3 linked regions of the Arabidopsis thaliana genome follow. The protein of the gene in region 3 interacts with the protein of the main gene of each other region in a pairwise test. Each region holds a gene or a part of one and is shown on either strand. Other genes may lie near its edges.

What was found.
Region 1: the proteins of AT1G20490 (region 3) and ANN5 interact in a protein complementation assay, tested with the Arabidopsis thaliana proteins (one large-scale study listed by BioGRID).
Region 2: the proteins of AT1G20490 (region 3) and AT1G61420 interact in a protein complementation assay, tested with the Arabidopsis thaliana proteins (one large-scale study listed by BioGRID).

The regions. Positions count from the first base shown.
Region 1 is NC_003070.9:25,518,123-25,523,702, reverse strand, and holds ANN5 (annexin 5), read left to right. Parts: upstream 1-2,807; 5' UTR 2,808-2,928; coding exon 2,929-3,004; intron 3,005-3,083; coding exon 3,084-3,229; intron 3,230-3,309; coding exon 3,310-3,528; intron 3,529-3,594; coding exon 3,595-3,810; intron 3,811-3,895; coding exon 3,896-3,985; coding exon of another isoform or gene 3,986-3,994; exon of another isoform or gene 3,995-4,057; coding exon 4,058-4,261; 3' UTR 4,262-4,398; downstream 4,399-5,580. Other genes in the region: IAR1 (ZIP metal ion transporter family), read right to left, coding at 48-149, 238-345, 467-613, 903-1,129, 1,218-1,340, 1,473-1,524, 1,697-1,746, 1,888-1,971 and 1 more; AT1G68080 (2-oxoglutarate (2OG) and Fe(II)-dependent oxygenase superfamily protein), read right to left, coding at 4,463-4,792, 4,931-5,335, 5,407-5,502.
Region 2 is NC_003070.9:22,658,975-22,666,617, reverse strand, and holds AT1G61420 (S-locus lectin protein kinase family protein), read left to right. Parts: upstream 1-2,443; 5' UTR 2,444-3,021; coding exon 3,022-4,276; intron 4,277-4,405; coding exon 4,406-4,516; intron 4,517-4,633; coding exon 4,634-4,803; intron 4,804-4,882; coding exon 4,883-5,093; intron 5,094-5,189; coding exon 5,190-5,427; intron 5,428-5,526; coding exon 5,527-5,677; exon of another isoform or gene 5,678-5,767; coding exon 5,768-6,061; downstream 6,062-7,643. Other genes in the region: AT1G61430 (S-locus lectin protein kinase family protein), read left to right, coding at 1-100, 226-336, 576-736, 803-1,013, 1,092-1,329, 1,413-1,563, 1,653-1,949; AT1G61415 (CAP-gly domain linker), read right to left, coding at 6,198-6,384, 6,471-6,564, 6,655-6,817, 6,898-6,957; AT1G61410 (DNA double-strand break repair and VJ recombination XRCC4), read left to right, coding at 7,554-7,643.
Region 3 is NC_003070.9:7,096,085-7,102,605, forward strand, and holds AT1G20490 (AMP-dependent synthetase and ligase family protein), read right to left. Parts: upstream 3,809-6,521; 5' UTR 3,589-3,808; coding exon 2,361-3,588; intron 1,990-2,360; coding exon 1,874-1,989; 3' UTR 1,845-1,873; exon of another isoform or gene 1,768-1,844; 3' UTR 1,510-1,767; intron 1,411-1,509; 3' UTR 1,127-1,410; downstream 1-1,126. Other genes in the region: AT1G20480 (AMP-dependent synthetase and ligase family protein), read right to left, coding at 1-989; AT1G20500 (AMP-dependent synthetase and ligase family protein), read right to left, coding at 4,418-4,531, 4,649-4,751, 4,867-4,934, 5,019-5,164, 5,542-6,521. UniProt on the Arabidopsis thaliana protein: Carboxylate--CoA ligase that may use 4-coumarate as substrate.

The sequences.
Region 1 (5,580 bases), about 18 Mb from region 3:
TTCAATATTTTAGAGAACTGCTAGGCTTTAATATAGAAAAGACTTACCAATGCAGTTCCGGCAAGTGCGACGAGTGCAGAGAGGAAGTTGAAGAAGAGTGCTTTTGTTACTGTGAAGCCTGATCTTACTAGAATCCCAAAATCACCTATCTGCATGTAAGTTTCCGTGGAGTTGTTTAAGGGGTGATACTTGTTGCTATGCACATTTTTAGGTTTGTTTAGGAAATAGAGTAGAGACCTCTTGGGGAAGCTCGTGGGCAAGTAAAAACATAGTTCTTGACCAACCACCAACTGATCCATAGATGAGAAACGCACTTCCTAATGCCATTCCATCAGTGAAATTGTGCTGCACAACAAAAAGAGCAAAAAAAAATCTTCATTTTCTCAGACGAATCATCTCTTGGCAATCTTTCATCATCCCGATCGAAGCTATCTCTTTAATATTTCAAAAGGGAACACGTACTTACAACACCATCAGAGAACAAGTTGAGGTAACCAAAGACTAGGCTCGAAGAACGCGTCTCCACCTGTTCTGGTTTGTCCGATTTTCCATCGGAAGTAATTTCTGTTCCTGAATCTGATTTATCAGTAGCGTCACTAGCAGAAGTCTTTCTCTGCAAATAGATAAGTTTACTCAGAAACCATAACAAGATGAATCCTACTCGGGCTTCAAGTAGAAGCTCAAAGAATAGATGTTTGCATATAACAGAAGAAATAGAAGCTCGTAGCTGAAAAGGTACCACATTTAAGTATGCTAAACCTCTCATTCACGCAAGAGACTGATAAACAGAAATTCTACCAAAACTAATGTGTTCCTTGTTTTTGTACTCTGCTTGCTTCTTGAGTTCAACTCAAAACTCATCTGCTGCAGGTAGAAATATTTACATAGAAGTGTGTTCTCACCTTACGGAGAGATTTATCTGTAGAGCCGCCAGAGACTTTCTCTGATGAATTTACAATTGCATCAGAAGAAGATTGTTGGTCCAAGTTGTTATGATCGCCTTCATCCTTCAGTTTCTTACTGCCTGCATGGTGGTGGTGGTGATGATGACCCCAAGTATTGGACCCAGATGAGTTTTCTTCGACATACCGCACCAACTTCTCCACAAGAAGGAAGACCACAATCCCAGCTGGATAATTAAGAATGATGATTGAAAGTGTCAATTCTGTCAAAATATTTTGTTCAATAAACACAAGAGGAAGTGTTATGATACTTACCAAGAACAGACAATCCAACAGACAAATCTTGTATAGAATGTGAGTGTGAAGGCGAATCCGAATGAGAATGATCATGATGGTCATGGTTCTCATGGTGATCATTAGAGTGAGAGTGGCCACCACCTGCCAAACCATAAATATATTTTGCACTTCAGGAAGATATAAAAGCAAACAAAATGAGAAGGCATAAAAGCCAAATTATGAAACAATGCAGATACTAAAAAAGAGATCAGAAACTTGTGTCCATTACTGTACCAAAAGCATGGGGCAGTTGGTGAAGAAAAGCATCTCCCAACATAGCTCCTGCCTGGTAAACAAATTAACTGAATCAACAGATCATATATTATTAACATTTCCAACTCATCCAAGTGATAAAGTTGCGACGAAACACAGTGTATAGATATTGCTAAAATATTTTTCTTGCATTCAGAACCACCACCGCCAAAGAAAAAGCTACTGTAGTCAGTCTAATGACTTACCCCAAAGAGAGCCAAAGAATCAACGAACCATTTTGATGGCTTCCCTTGAACTGTTAGTTGCAACATAAGACTTGAAACAGTTACTCTCATGAACACATTATAGCACATGAATAAACGAAAGAGAGCATTTTCTCCAGGACAATTAAAAGCAATGCTTTTTGGTTTTCATAGGTATACAAAAAATTGCTTACCAAACATAATGGGAAGCAAAACAAGGCAGATGAGTGAGGCCAAGCTAACTAAAAGAGAGCATCCCAATGCATTAAGCCACAGAGCTACAAAAACCAACAAGAAGAAGAGATTCTAATCATCAAGTAATGATTTGTAAAACCCAATGAAGAATGTAGCTAAAGGAACCAAATTTACCAAACCCCGTAAGAGTGGAACTTGATTCGTGATCGTGATCATGAAGACAAGGCCCAAACCCACATAATCTCATATCCTCCTCTTCAGCAAGCTCCTCCGGCAACTTCATCTCCACCTTCGCCGTCGTCTTCTTCACATGATGATCATGATCGTGGTCGTGGTCGTGGTCATGAGAATGACTACACCCACCACCGTGATGATGCACGTGATCGTCACGCGCCGGCGTTGACTGAGAGAATCCGGATTCAACGCACAGATCCAGAAACAGTACCAAAACCAGAATCGGAACCAGTAGCTTTCTCAGCGAGAACGACATCTCTGAGTGAGCTAAGAAGAGCGACGGTTGAAGCGAGTGCCTTCAATAGTGATGAAGCAGACGATGCAGAAGAAGAGAATGATAATTCCGATTATGATTCCGAAAGTGACAACATCCATTTGGGGAAAGTAATAAACCTTAGGAGATCTTTTTATAATTTGTAGTTTTGGCCCATTGTTTCGAAATTAAGTCGAAAACCCCCTTTTACTAGGCTACAGACTCTACACAACTCTTATAAAAGTCTTTATGTTGATGATAATCATGAAACATAGAGATATCTATCGGATCCTAAAAAATGTTATCCGTTAAATTTTATGCATCAAAGCATCCATCGTTACACGAATGAAACAGAGGATTCAACTCCTAAAATCAAGGTCTAATGTCCATTTCCTTTGCATATTTCAACCCAAAACCCAATCGCCACAAATCACACCACACCAACAAAACAAAAGAAAAAACAAAATCAAGAGAATACAACAAAAAAAAGAAAGAAGAAAGGTATAGAGTTTTACAATATCTTCTTCGGAATCTTTAGAGGAAGAAAGAAAAAATGGCAACAATGAAAATACCAATGACGGTACCTTCTCCTCGAGTCGATGCTGACCAACTCTTTAAGGCCTTCAAAGGTACGTACGCATTCGCTTCTTATGTAGTTTATAACAACTTGTTTTGTTACATTTTAGTTTATATTTTCGCAATTTGCAGGAAGAGGCTGCGATACTTCGGTGATCATCAACATCTTAGCTCATCGCAATGCAACACAACGAGCTCTCATCGAACAAGAATACGAAACCAAATTCTCGGATGACCTCCGAAAACGTCTCCACTCTGAGCTTCATGGTCATCTCAAGGTAAATAAATCTTAGCCTTACAAAAAAACTTTTATTCATGATTTTAGCAGACAACATTTTGAAAACGTTTTTGATTTCAGAAAGCCGTTCTTTTGTGGATGCCTGAAGCAGTGGAGCGAGACGCTTCAATACTGAAACGCTCCTTAAGAGGAGCCGTGACTGATCATAAAGCGATTGCTGAGATTATATGCACACGATCTGGCTCTCAGCTTCGTCAGATCAAACAGGTCTACTCAAACACTTTCGGTGTGAAACTTGAAGAGGACATCGAATCCGAAGCTTCTGGCAATCACAAAAGAGTATGTTTTCTCTATTTGATCCATGCTTTTGGTTCAAATAGTAATAGAAATTGTAATATGTAACAGGTTTTGCTCGCGTATTTGAACACTACGCGATATGAAGGACCAGAGATCGATAATGCGAGTGTAGAGAACGATGCTAGGACTCTCAAGAGCGCGGTTGCAAGGAAGCATAAATCTGATGACCAGACGTTGATTCAGATATTCACTGACCGAAGCAGGACTCATTTGGTCGCTGTAAGATCTACTTACCGTTCCATGTACGGCAAAGAACTTGGAAAGGTATATAATCAAGATCCAGAAACTTGTTACTCAAGAATCAGAAAATTTCCAAAATCTTGATCTTCTCTTTCTCCAATCTTGATAGGCCATAAGAGATGAGACTCGCGGGAACTTCGAGCATGTCCTTCTAACAATTTTACAATGTGCTGAAAACTCTTGTTTCTATTTCGCAAAGGTAACGTAACCTAACCTTTCTTAGACAACAATGTAGGGTTTCGAGTTTACAAAACGAAAACTGAAAGCGCAGGCATTGAGGAAATCAATGAAAGGATTAGGAACAGATGACACGGCGTTGATAAGAATCGTGGTGACGAGAGCAGAGGTGGATATGCAGTTCATCATCACAGAATACCGTAAGAGATACAAGAAGACTTTGTACAATGCTGTTCATTCTGATACAACTAGTCATTACAGGACTTTTCTCCTCTCTCTTTTAGGCCCCAACGTTTGAGATCTCTTTCTGTATCCAATCCCAAAATTAACTTTGATTCTCTGTATCTTACAAAATTACTTGCAACAATCTTGAAGGATATTATAACATGATTATGTGTAAGATCAAACAAAGAGATAATTGAGAAGCTGTTCTTTGAAGCCAAGAGAATCACTTTCAAGTTGTTAACTACTCAATTCAACAGTAACTCAGAATTCATTTCTAATCAGATTCCACTTTGTGTATAGTTTGATAAGTTTTCCATTGAGGCAAGGATGATAATAGCTCCTTGAGTAACTTACAGCTATACTCTTCCCAAGAGGTAACCGCGAGAGCTATACCCGTCAAGTCGAGTGAATCCTTTCGATCCTCACCAGAGCACGAATATCCAAAAGTTGTGGCTACGAGGTTCTCATCTAGCAGGAAAACTGATTTCAGGGCATTGATAGTTTCCAACTGAGAGTGGGACATAGCTTTCACCTCTTCTAATGTGTCATTTTCGACATTAGAAGTTACGAGTTCAGAAGCTTTCCAATGGTAGAACTGAACAACCTATTATCCAGCAAAAGAGAAGAAATAAGCATTTGATTATATATGATGAAAGGAAGCCCGTTTAACAAGACATTTACTATATCAACTAATCACTAACGACCTCGAAGAAACTCATGTGAATGTCAAAGAGAAAAGTACCTGAAGAGCATGAAGAATGTTGGCAAATTTTCGGGTGAGTAACTTTCCTCCTTTAGCTAATTGTAGTGGTCCCATAAGTTGTTCAGAGGCATCCGTAGAATGATCTTCGCCTTGTAAGCTATGTACATCAAAACCAAGAAGATGCAACCTCGCAACGCAAACATCAAAACCTATGTTTTGATTAGAACCATCTTGATGAGGACAGAACCAGTACATGTTAGTGGATGCAGGCAAAGGGAGGCACACTTCATGTGATGTACATTGTGAAAGACGAGAAAGAAGCTTGGAATCTTCGTCATGTGATGAGTCCCGGCTAAACCAGAGTGCAAGAGTCAATCTTTCTCCATCTGTTACCTCATCAACTGAGTGAATATTCCGGTCATCAGCTGTGTACATGATAACATCCTGCTCAAGAACACAAACTCATTATTCAATCTAAGTAACCACTAAGCCAACTGAAAAAGAACAATACTTACACCAGCCGATGGAGCAACGGTTACTGGTTCACCACTCTGAAAACGAAAAAGACCGCCTATGAAATCTTTCTCGTAACTATTCAAGTAACAAACTGCCTTCAAACCAACTAAAAACCAAAGTCATACACACATAAACCACAATATCAACAAGGACGTCTATAGATTACAAAAATG
Region 2 (7,643 bases), about 16 Mb from region 3:
GGAATAGGGTGCTTAATGTGGAGCAAGGATCTAATGGACACAAGGCAATTTTCTGCAGCAGGAGAACTTCTTTCCATTCGTCTTGCACGTTCTGAGCTAGGTATGACTTACAATATAATTCAAGGACCTTTTGTATCTTTTGTAATTATATCTTCCACTTCTTTGATATTGATGTTTTCGATAGAAGCATGACTTATTGTTCAATTCTTATCCTAAATTCCTCAGATGTAAATAAGCGCAAGATGACCATTGTTGCTAGTACAGTGAGCCTGACCCTATTCGTGATCTTTGGATTTGCTGCATTTGGTTTCTGGAGATGCAGAGTGGAACATAATGGTAACACATTGATGACTTTACTATCGAACAATCTCTCACTGTTCATCTAATCATTTGGTTGTCAATAAAATTGCTCTGTTACATTTGTTATAAGATATCGTTAAATAAAAAGGTGTTTTTTCCACTACTAAATTGACTGACTTGTATATTATTTTTCTGGTACATTGGTTTCGGCCTGTTTTAAAAACTCTGAATATACTCACTTGGCACTGACACACATATTCTAACCCATATTTTAGCTCATATATCAAACGATGCATGGAGGAATTTTCTGCAATCACAAGACGTCCCAGGTTTAGAATTTTTTGAGATGAATGCCATACAAACTGCCACCAATAATTTCAGTCTATCAAACAAACTCGGTCCTGGTGGATTTGGTTCTGTTTACAAGGCGAGAAACGTTTTATCCTCTTTGCTCTTTTTCTTTTCTGTCATTTCTTGACATGACATTTGCAACTTGTTTCAGGGAAAACTGCAAGATGGAAGAGAAATTGCGGTAAAACGTCTTTCTAGCAGCTCTGGGCAGGGCAAACAGGAGTTCATGAATGAAATAGTACTGATATCAAAACTCCAACACAGAAACTTAGTCCGGGTTTTGGGATGCTGCGTCGAAGGAACAGAGAAGCTATTGATTTATGGGTTCTTGAAAAACAAAAGCCTGGATACTTTTGTCTTTGGTGGGTCACTTCTTACCCCTTTCGTGTAGTTTTCCCCTTTATATCTGGAATTTCTTATCTGATAGCTTGTATACTTAGATGCAAGAAAAAAGCTCGAACTTGATTGGCCAAAGAGATTTGAGATCATTGAAGGTATTGCACGTGGACTTCTCTATCTCCACCGTGACTCACGCCTCAGAGTAATTCACCGAGACCTGAAGGTCAGCAACATTCTTCTGGATGAGAAAATGAACCCGAAAATATCAGATTTTGGTTTGGCTCGGATGTTTCAGGGAACCCAATATCAGGAAAAAACTCGCAGGGTTGTCGGAACTCTGTAAGAACCATCCCTTGATAACATATTAAACTAGATTGGTAGTCATATATTAAATTGGGTGAAACTATTTGATCTTTGAACAGAGGATATATGTCTCCTGAGTATGCATGGACTGGCGTATTCTCTGAGAAATCCGATATCTACAGTTTCGGAGTTCTGTTGTTAGAAATCATCAGCGGAAAGAAGATCTCAAGTTTCAGCTATGGCGAGGAGGGAAAAGCACTTCTTGCATATGTTAGTAAGACTTTATGTTTTCATGCATTTGCAGAGGTTGCAAAAGGTTTGTTGCTTTGATATTCTTAAGAGTGGAAACTGAAAAACAGGCATGGGAATGTTGGTGTGAAACCCGAGAAGTTAATTTTTTGGACCAAGCTCTTGCTGATTCTAGTCACCCATCTGAAGTTGGAAGGTGTGTACAGATTGGTTTGCTCTGTGTTCAACACGAGCCTGCAGACAGACCAAACACACTTGAGTTGCTGTCTATGCTTACCACAACATCAGATCTTCCTCTGCCCAAAAAACCCACATTTGTAGTGCACACTAGAAAAGACGAATCACCGTCAAATGATTCGATGATCACTGTCAATGAGATGACAGAGTCTGTGATCCAAGGACGTTGAAACTGTAGAATTGGAATTATTCTCTATAAGGATCAAAATTTCTAATGGTTGTAAAATTACATCCCTTCCTTTATTATTCAGAAACTTTTTATCTATGTGGAAACTGTTTGGTAAAATTGACTAAGGTATATTTTATTAGGCATGATTACATGATTCCACTTCCCACTAAATTGACAAAATACTTTGCTCAAAAACAAATCGTTGACTCTACTTCATTTTAAGACTTCCCGGGAGATTATTCTCGGGCCTAGTGGCACACCAATGTTGACTGTTGAATTCTTCGGTTCTTTTGGACAGAAACAGTTAAGCCCATATGGTTGGAGTTGGGAATCAGTCGATTAGGGTCATTACGGGTCTAACGACATTAGCGAGGCTCGGAGGTTTTTTTTATGCACTGCAAGTGTTCGAGGAAATGTCTAAACGAGATAAAACATAGCCTGCATTTCAAGAAAGTTATTGTGTTGTAATGGTGAAGCAAGGATTGGATTCTTTCGATTGATGCAGAACTAATAAGGACTTGAACAATGACAACGTTGCGTATCTGATTGGGTAAGGACTTCTTCGTGCCAATCTATCATGTATGCATTGTTTCTATTATTGATGCAGAGCTAATAAGGACTTGGAATTGTCTCCCACTCATTCACGTTGTTATTTGTTTAGTGAGCAGTTACTTTCTGAACACCTTTTTTGTGTATTTAAGTAAATGATTGTCTTTGAATGGAATAGAAGAAAATTTGCAGTAACTTATTCTAAAGTCTTTGATAACCAAAGTCTTCTTCTTTTTGTTCTTGATAGCATTGAACAATGACAACGTTGCGTATCTGATTGGGTAAGGACTTATTCGTGCTTTGACACTTTTGTTCTCTATTATCAAATAACGCATGATTTTTGGAACATTAGTAAAGATTATTAAATAACGCATGATTTTTGTTCTGTATTATTCTCACAAGTCAGTCCCTGAGTTGACAAAACAAAAAATGTGCAAAGAGAGTTTTTTTTTTTTTTTTTCTTGCTTTCTCGCTTTATGTAAAGCTAATCTAAAAAAGATAGTTTTTGGAGAGAAATAACAAATATGGGGAAGAAGTGGATCGTGTTCTTTGCTTATTTGCTCTTATCTAGCTTCTTTATAAGTTCTAGCTCTGCAGGGATAACGAAAGAAAGTCCTTTGCCAATAGGACAAACTCTCAGCTCCTCTAATGGTTTTTATGAACTGGGGTTCTTCAATTTTAATAACTCCCAGAATCAGTATGTCGGAATCTGGTTCAAGGGTATTATTCCCCGGGTGGTTGTGTGGGTGGCCAATAGAGAAAAGCCTGTTACAGATTCCACGGCAAATCTCGCTATCAGCAACAATGGAAGTCTTCTGTTATTTAATGGCAAACATGGCGTTGCATGGTCCAGTGGAGAAGCTCTTGTTTCTAACGGGTCTCGTGCAGAGCTTTCAGACACCGGAAATCTTATTGTCATAGACAATTTTTCGGGAAGAACTCTATGGCAAAGCTTTGACCATCTTGGTGATACTATGCTTCCTTCCTCAACCCTGAAGTATAACCTCGCCACTGGCGAGAAGCAGGTGTTGAGTTCTTGGAAAAGTTACACTGATCCATCGGTTGGCGACTTTGTGCTTCAGATTACGCCACAAGTGCCAACGCAGGTGCTTGTTACGAAAGGATCAACGCCTTATTATAGAAGCGGTCCATGGGCTAAAACAAGGTTCACGGGGATACCGCTAATGGATGACACATTTACAGGTCCAGTCAGCGTTCAGCAGGATACAAATGGGTCAGGATCTCTCACTTATTTAAACAGAAACGATAGACTTCAACGTACAATGCTAACATCAAAGGGCACACAGGAGTTGTCTTGGCATAATGGGACGGACTGGGTATTGAACTTTGTGGCTCCAGAACACTCATGTGATTACTACGGTGTATGTGGACCTTTTGGGTTATGTGTGAAGTCTGTTCCTCCAAAATGTACGTGTTTCAAAGGGTTTGTTCCTAAACTCATTGAGGAGTGGAAAAGAGGAAACTGGACTGGTGGTTGTGTGAGGCGTACCGAACTATATTGTCAAGGAAACTCTACTGGCAAATATGCAAACGTGTTCCATCCTGTTGCCAGGATAAAGCCTCCAGACTTTTACGAATTTGCAAGTTTTGTGAATGTTGAAGAATGCCAGAAAAGTTGCCTCCACAATTGTTCTTGCTTGGCCTTTGCTTATATCGATGGAATTGGGTGCTTAATGTGGAACCAAGACCTAATGGACGCAGTGCAATTTTCTGAAGGAGGAGAACTTCTCTCCATTCGTCTGGCACGTTCTGAACTAGGTATGGCGCTCAAATGATTACACGGAAGAATTACTTCGTTTACAACTTTATCTACAACTCCATTGATACTCTTCTTACCGGAAGCAGCATGGCTTATTGTTTAATTTGTTTTTGTCTTATATGTCACAGGTGGAAATAAGCGCAAGAAGGCCATTACTGCTAGTATTGTGAGCCTTTCTCTTGTTGTGATAATTGCGTTTGTTGCGTTTTGTTTCTGGAGATATAGAGTGAAACATAATGGTAAAAACTGATGATCTTACTCCCTCTCTATTGATTTCTTTTCTTTATTTACAGTACTCATTTTCTTGCTATTGGTAAGACACTGATGACCTATATTATCTATAATTGAAACACTAGTTTCAGCTGATATAACAACGGATGCTTCACAAGTTTCATGGAGGAATGATCTGAAACCACAAGATGTCCCAGGTTTAGATTTCTTTGATATGCATACCATTCAAACTGCCACCAATAATTTCAGTATATCAAACAAACTCGGACAAGGTGGATTTGGCCCTGTTTATAAGGTTAGAGAATTTTTAACCTCTTTGCTCTTTTCTATTCTTTGCTTATGCTCTCCAGATGACCTTATGCAATGTGTTTCAGGGTAAGCTGCAAGATGGGAAAGAAATTGCTGTAAAACGGCTTTCTAGCAGCTCGGGCCAGGGCAAAGAGGAGTTCATGAATGAAATAGTACTCATCTCAAAACTACAACATAAAAACTTAGTTCGGATTTTGGGATGTTGCATTGAAGGAGAAGAGAAGCTATTGATTTATGAGTTCATGTTGAACAATAGCCTTGATACCTTTCTCTTCGGTGGGTTCCTTCTTGCTTCATTCCTTTACTATCAGCAACTTTTTCTCTACATGGAACTGTCTTATCTGATTGTTCATACTCTATATTGTCGCTTAGATTCAAGAAAAAGGCTTGAGATTGACTGGCCAAAGAGATTGGATATCATTCAAGGTATTGCGCGTGGAATTCACTATCTCCATCGTGACTCACACCTCAAGGTTATTCACCGAGATCTGAAGGTTAGCAATATTCTTCTTGACGAGAAGATGAATCCAAAGATATCAGATTTTGGATTGGCTCGGATGTATCAGGGAACCGAATATCAGGACAATACTCGCAGGGTTGTAGGAACTCTGTAAGACTCTATTTTCCATAACATTGTTAACAAGATTCATAGTCATAAACTCATAATCGTTTATTAAACATTGGGTGAAACTATTCGATGTTCGCACAGAGGATATATGGCTCCTGAGTATGCATGGACTGGGATGTTTTCTGAAAAGTCCGACATCTATAGCTTTGGAGTTCTAATGTTAGAAATCATAAGCGGGGAGAAGATCTCAAGATTCAGCTATGGCAAAGAAGAAAAAACCCTTATTGCATATGTAAGTACAACTTTTAGGTATTCATACAGTTGCAAATGTCTCAAAACGTTTCTTGCTTTTATATTCTTAAGACCTGAATCTGAACAACAGGCGTGGGAATCTTGGTGTGATACTGGAGGAATTGATCTCTTGGACAAAGATGTCGCCGATTCATGTCGCCCACTGGAAGTTGAGAGATGTGTTCAGATCGGTCTGCTCTGTGTTCAACACCAACCTGCAGATAGACCCAACACACTTGAGTTGCTGTCTATGCTCACCACAACATCAGATCTTCCACCACCAGAACAACCGACATTTGTAGTGCACAGGAGAGATGACAAATCATCGTCTGAGGATTTGATCACTGTGAATGAGATGACAAAGTCTGTGATCTTAGGGCGTTAAGAAATGATGTTTGATCTTAGGGCGTTGATAACAAACTTCACCTTTTATTCTTTTTGTAACATATTTTTTGTATACATGAACCTCCATTCTGGTGCACCAATGATCCATGGTGTTGAAGATAATGTGACCAGAAACACTAATCAGATAATAGATTCATCATTTCATCTTCCATGTAAGCCAAAATAGAGTTCTTCACATCTAAGTTCTTCTCCTCCAACATCCGAACTTCGTTGTCGAGAAACTCTCTTTCCAACAATAAATTCCTGAATTCACTGTCTTCAATCTCCCTTTGAAACCCAAAACACATCTTCACAAAACCTTCCCTGTGTAAAAAAATTCCATAAGCAATGCTTTATCAATCAGAGGATCAAGAACACAAATGCTTGTTTACAACACAATCGATGTTTACCGCTTCTCGGTTAGTCTTGTAATTAGCTCACTATGCTCATTTCTCAAACGACAAATCTCATCCTCCAATAGCTTCAGAGAGTTTCTTGAATCAGCTTTAAGAAAATAAAACATAGTGATAGAGATTTAACAACACAGAAACAAAAAACAAATTCAGAAATTAGAAGCGACTCAAATTCAGAAACCTGTAACGGAGATCAAACCATTGATCTCGAACTGAGAAGCAAGGAACGATTTAGTAAGCTCAGCTTCTTTGACAGACAGAGCCGATTCCGTCTCAGAACAATTTCCGATCTGTGATTCGATCTCTCGCGTGACCTGAATGTTTGCTTCGATTTCCCGATTGACCTGTTTCATTCGATCACAGCTCAGATTAAGCTAAAGACGAGAGATACCAATCCAGTGAAGAAGATGAAGAATAGTGAAACCTGATCAAGCATGTCCTTGAAAATGGAGATTTGACATAGAATCGCACCTGAATCCTCCATTTCCTCTTGCTTCCTCTTCTTTTCAAATTCAAAATCAAAATCGTTAAGCGCGCTATGGGAAGATAAGCTTTTACTGGGCCTGATGGGCTTTTAACTTAAATCACGGCCCATTGAGACCTTGTGTTTCGTCGCAAATCGAATATTCCGATCTTTCAATATTTTTGGAAACACGAACCGAATATCGGCGACTTTGATCGAGATCGAAACAATGGTTGAATCGGAGAAAACGAAACACACATGTCTCCATCTTGAAATCTCCGGCGCCGATCCAATTTTCGTCAAAGGAACATGGTATCACTCTCGTTTCGATATCTCCGTCACCGATGGCTCCTTCACTTGGACTTGCAATGCGACGGAGGAGGAGGTAGCGGAGAGAGCAGCAATGGGACCAGCCTGTATCTGAGTATTTAGAGCTCGCCGAGCAATACTTAGGGTTTCAGCAGCCTAATTCGGTCTATGGTTTCTCCGATGCTATTGAGGGATCTAAACGGCTCTCTTGGACGTTTGAGAAGGAAGGGACTAAACTTGAGTGGAGGTGGAAATGTAAACCATCAGATGATAGCAAGAAGATCACTGTTAGGATTTTGGATTTTCTTATGGAGGCTAACATAAGGCTAAGTGAAGAAGTTGTGAACAAGACGAGATCGTTTGAGAAGATGAAAAGTGAAGCTGAGAGATGTCTCGCG
Region 3 (6,521 bases):
AACGAGCTCAGATCATACTTGGAATTAATCTCATTTGCTCCGTTAACCATAGCTACTACAATCGGCGGTACAAGAGAAAGGTACGAAGAACGATGAGTCTCCACCGCCGAGAGAAGCTTAGCCATGTCGAATTTAGGAAGAACAACGATTGTCCATCCTAACGCGATTAGCCCCGTCGCGAAACCACCGAATCCGAAGATGTGACACATTGGGATTGTGCAAATGGTTCGCTGCTCTAAACCGAACCGGGCCCGGTATGCTTGTACCAATGCGATTAGGTTACGGTGACTCAGCATTACTCCTTTACTCGTCCCCGTCGTACCTGATGAGTATAACAGAGCCGCCGTGTCGTCCTGGTTGACTCGTTGCTTAACTCGTGACTCACTCGGTTCTGTTTCAATCATCGTCTCTAACCTCCCGACTAGTTTCACGCGGTCACCGTAACTTTGCGAAGGAACGTGGTAGTCGTCCATGAGAACCACCGGGAGATTAAAATTCGACGCGGCGGCGAGTTTGGAGACGAGTTTGCATGTGGTGAAGGCGAGAACAGGACGCGAATCGCCTATCTGTTTGGAGATTTCGTCGGACGTGTTGATCGGATTAGCGGTGGTTATGATTGCGCCGAGTGACATTACGGAGAGGGAGACGATCGGGAAGAGGATTGAGTTTGGAGAGAGTATAATGACGACATTTCCTTTGCGTACACCTAATGCGTAAAGACAACCCGCGACTCTTTCGACACCGAGCCAGAGCTCAGGGAAGCTTAGTCGACGACCGGTTACGGCGTCGACGAATACGGTTTTGCCGCGATGAGGCTGTGATGCAATGAAAGACGTGACGTCGAGAAATTGGTTTGGCGGGAGAGCCATTGGCTCACGTTTGCTGTAGAATATCGATGTTGATTCGCAGAAACCGCTTTTTCGATCTACCGCCAGAGTTCTCGATTCGATTTCGCTGCCGTCGCCGTCGACGCCGTGCTTAACCGCCATGTTAAAGGACTTTGGTTGTATCGAAAGCCTCTCGGTGATTGGTCGTTAGAGATTGGTAATTACGTCGTTTCTGATTTAAGTTTTATGACGTGGACTATATTATAAAAAAGCCCACTATACTTTGAGTCTTTGATCCATTACGCCTTTGGGCCTAATGCAAACTAATTATATCTGTCCTTGGAAATTATTCAACACTATACATATGTATACAGAAAAATATATACAATGATTACAGATTTACAGTTTTCTCTCTTATTGAAAAACAATACCATCAATAAAATTAAGAAAGTCTAGCAAATTTATCCTTTCAAAGTTTGGAAGTTGATAGTTTGATTAGATCTTTGCGAAGTGTTTTGCCGGATGCAGTCTTTGGTATGGAACTTATGAATGCAACCTTTCTTATTTTCTTATACGGTGCCACCTGCTCATCAAATTATTTACCACCCAAAAATAGTTTAACTTTTAAGTAAAACAATATATGATAAAGAAGATGTTGTACGTTTTGTGATTATAGAAGTACCTGATTAGAGATGAAGTCAATAACTTCTTTTTCGGAGAGATTGCTCTCGGGCTTTCGGGCTACATAAGCCATCGGATATTGTCCGGCTTCTCTATCCGGAAACCTGTACAATGCACAAAAGAAACAAACTACATGTTTTTCGATATTTGAATGGCAAAAATCATGGTGTTTTAGTTGTTAAATATTTTACGGAATAACAGCAGCATCAAGAATGTGTGGATGAGCGATCAAAAGAGCCTCTAGTTCAGCTGGAGGCACCTGCTTATCATATATTAACCATTAGATTTTCATTTTTAAGAAAATTTACACTATTAGTAAACATAACGATGATGAACCTGATAGCCTTTGTATTTGATCAATTCTTTCAGTCGATCCACAACAAATAGAAACCCATCTTCATCGATATAGCAGAGATCTCCAGTTTTAGCCATCCTTCTAGATTAATAGTTTCATTTGTAGCTTCTTCATTTCCGAAATAACCTTTAAAGCATATAAATGTTAGTTTAATTCAAAACTATGTCTTTGCCATGCAAAAAATTGTTTTCGTTTTGTCCCAAGACAGATTTAAGAGTGTTTCTTTTGTTATTCAATAGTATTGAGTTCACTTAAATAAGTTTCATTTAATTTGCAAATGAACTGAAGCCATTCTTCGGTTAGGGTGTCCACGTTACGAATACTAATCATATCGATGTATACAAAACTCAATTACTCACACCAAATCCAAAACCCATTTTACTGCTTAAAAACTTGATCATAATATTTGTTTTATAAATAATTTCCCAATAATAAAATGTCTATTTCAAATAATCTAATTATTGCCAAATATTTAGCGTTTATTAGTGTTTGTTTACCTTTAGAAATAGAAGGACCCTTGAGCCAGAGCTCACCGGGTTGGTTCACACCCATGACCCGACCCGTATCCGGATCCACAATCCTCGCTTCAATACCGGACGACAACAACCCAACCGCACCGTATTTCAGACTCTCCTCCACAGATTCCGTCGAAGCTCCTGAACCGTGCGACTCAGTCAACGCATATCCTTGAAAAATATTAACCGTTGGATATTTCTCTAGGAAGCTATCCATAACCTCCTTGCTCAACGGTGCTCCACCACACCTAACCTTTCTCAGGGAGGTCAAATCGTACTTGGCCTTGAGCTGATCTGCACCGTTAATCATAGCTACCAAAACCGGTGGAGCCAAACTCAGAATCGTGGCTTTGTACTTCTCCACCGCTTGCATCATATCGTCGAGCCCGAATCTCCGGAGAATCACCACCGTTGAACCCGATGCTACGGAGCCCATTGCGAACGCCAATAACCCGAAGGAGTGGAACATCGGCACGGTACATACGAATATCTCGTCTCGTTTCCATTTATCGTCGATGTATTTCGCAACGTAAGCTGTTAAATTCCGGTGAGACGAGATCACTCCTTTGCTCGTCCCTGTGGTTCCCGACGAGTAAAGCATCATCGCCGTGTCGTCCTGGTTGACTCGGTCTCTGACTCGTTGACCACTCGTTTCTTTCTTCATCATCTCGCTCAAAATCCCAACGACTCTGACTCCACTAGTGAGCTCCACTCGCTTCTCGTCTTCTTCGTCGGTGAGGACGACGGAGATTGCGGCTGCGAGTTTGGGTGCCAGCTGGCTCGTGGTGAAGACGAGAGTTGGATTACTTTGGGCGATCTGTTTGGAGATTTCGCCGGAGGTGTTGAGAGTGTTGGCGGTGGTGACGACGGCGCCGAGAGACATGACGGAGAGGCAAACGACGGGAATGTAGATTGAATTTGGAGAGAGGATGAGGACGACGTCGCCTCTTCGTATTCCGACTTCATGATATAGACAGTCAGCGACGCGATCAACGACTCTCCAGAGATCGGAGAAGGTTAAGCGGTGGCCCGTGGAGGCGTCGATGAAGGCGGTGGTGCCGCGTTGCGGTTGAGATGATATGAAAGTTGTGACGTCAAGCGACGGATTTGGCGGGAGACATAATGGGTTTCGCTTGCTATAGAATGTAGAGTTTGATTTGCAGAAACCGCTTCTAGGATCAACAATGAGATCTCTCTCAGGATACGCCATATTTCTTAATATGAAGCTCTTCTCTAAGTACAACTTCTCTAAACGATTAGTCTGTAATATGAATATGAAATATTAATATACCATACTATCTACAACATGTGTCGGATTATTAAATGATGTAGATAATATGATAGTTGATGTGGCCGACACAAAACAATAAGAATTGTGATGAGAAACACAAAATAATAATACAAAACATAAAGAACTTTTCATTGTAAGAATATTTTATCACAAGTTTGGTGAAGTCACGTGGTTCTCGTTCCTGAGAACTACCGGGAGATTCGATTTGACCGTCGCCGCCGTGCCTAACCCCTATGTTTTGTTTTGTTGGCTTCTATGTTCAGTTTGATGACGTGAGATTTTTTATTTGGGTAACCAGTGACCCATAACCAGGATTAGGTAACCTCAAAGCCCACTTCACTTGCCATATTGTCCTTGGGTCTAGCCACACACCAAATTTATCTTCTTGTTGCTCAAATCCAAACCAATTCCGATCGTCCATCCCTCTTTCTTTCTTTTTCTTCGGTTAAAAACTTAAAATGTTGAATTTCGGATTATTGATCTTGTAATAAGTCATAACACACACATTTGTTATATTATCTTTCTATTCACTTTTGGATATTATAATTTTGATAAGATATAAACTCGTGTTATCAGCAAATTGTCTACTACATATTTGATACTAGTGTCTTTAATTAAAATTATTCAGCATTATAGATATATTACAAATCTCTCTTTATTGAAATAAAAACGAGATTATTGAAAGAGAACATACATCCCAGTTATTTCAACTACAAGTAAAAGTGAGAATCTAGCAAATAAGATCCTTTCAAAGTTTAGAAGTAGCCAATTTGATTAGATCCTTGCGAAGCGTCTTACCGGATGCAGTTTTTGGTATGGAGTTTATAAATGAGACCTTTCTTATCTTCTTATATGGTGCTACCTGCTCAAAATTTTAGTAATCTTTTGAAACCAACTATCATAAAACTAATTTACCACCTAAAAACATTATAACAAGGTAAAGAAGAGAAGGTGTTGTTTTGTGATTTTAAAAGCACACCTGCTTAGAGATGAAGTCAATGACTTGTTTCTCAGAGAGATTGCTCTCGTGTTTTCGAACCACGTAAGCCATTGGATATTGTCCTGCTTCTTTGTCCGGAAAACTTTGCAGTACGTACACAAAAGCATACATACATGAACATGTTGTGTTTTACGTTTATAAGGCAAAAATCATGGCGTTTAAATTGGAGGAAAAAAAAAAGTTATGAAATATTTTACGGAATAACGGCGGCATCGAGAATGTCCGGATGAGTAATCAGAAGAGCTTCTAGTTCAGCTGGAGGCACCTGTTTATCAATTACTTATCGTTAGATCTTTATAATTTTAAAATTTCACTGTTTGTGAAAGAATGAAGATAGATGTTTATGAACCTGATAGCCTTTGTATTTTATCAGTTCTTTCAATCGATCCACAACAAAAAGAAACCCATCTTCATCGATGTAGCAAAGATCTCCAGTTTTTAGCCATCCCTCTAAATTAATGGTTTCATTTGTAGCTTCTTGGTTTTTAAAATAACCTTCATTTTACGTTTGTCAATTAATAAAGCTTACGTAACAAGGTATATACACAAACAAATCGGGATCTTTCACGTCGTCATTTTCCATTATATGGAGCTACCTAACTTTTTGAACTCGTACAAAAATGAAAATTCACTTATTCACACTAGTCCAAAAACCATATGCAAAATCCATCACTAGAAAAAACTTGGAAATCAAATACGAGTTCTTGCTATATTTGTTTCACAAAAAGTTATAAACTTGATCTCAATAACAATTTAATTTATCTTTATCTTATACATTGATTTGAAATGGTTAAGTTTTTGCCTTTGACCAAAAAAATGATCAAGTTATTACTTCTATCGCAAGCAAAGCAAAAACTATCTAGTGATTTTACCTTTAGAAATAGAAGGGCCCTTGAGCCAGAGCTCTCCCGTTTGGTTAATTCCCATGAACCGACCCGTATTCGGATCCACGATCCTCGCCTCCACATCAGACGTCAACGTCCCCGCCGTGCCATATCTCCGGCTCTCCTCCGCTGAATTCGTGAAAGCCCCTCCGCCGTTGGATTCCGTCAAAGCATACCCCTGCAGTATATCAACCGTCGGATATTTCTCTAGAAACCCTTCCGTCACCTCCTTGCTCAACGGCGCTCCACCACACCTCACCGTTTTCAGTGAGCTCAGATCGTACTTAGCCTTGATCAGATCTGCGTCGTTAATCATAGCTACCAAAACAGGTGGCGCCAAAGCCAGAGCTGTGGCTCGGTGCTTCTCCACCGCATCCATCATATCGTGGAGCTGAAATCTCCGGAGGATCACCACCGTTGAACCCAATGCTACGGTGCCCATAGCGAAGGTCAATAAACCGTAGGTGTGGAACATCGGGACGGTACAGATGAAAATATCGTCTCGTTTCAAATTATCCGATATGAATCTAGCCACGTGAGCTGTTAAATTCCGGTGAGACGAGATCACTCCTTTGCTCGGTCCCGTGGTTCCCGACGAGTAAAGCATCATCGCCGTGTCGTCCTGGTTGACTCGGTCCCTGACTCGTTGCCCACTCGGTTCTTTCTTCACCATCTCGCTTAAAATCCCAACGACTCTGATTGCGCTAGTGAGCTCCTGGTAAACTTCGTCGTCGGTGAGAACGACGGAGATAGCGACGGGGAGTTTTGGTGCCAGCTGGCGCGTAGTGAAGACGAGAGTTGGATTACTGTCGGCAATCTGTTTGGAGATTTCACCGGAAGTATTGAGAGTGTTGGCGGTGGTGAAAACGGCGCCGAGAGACATGACGGAGAGGCAAACAACGGGAATGAAGATGGAGTTTGGAGAAAGGATGAGGACGACGTCGCCTCTTCGTATTCCGACTTCATGA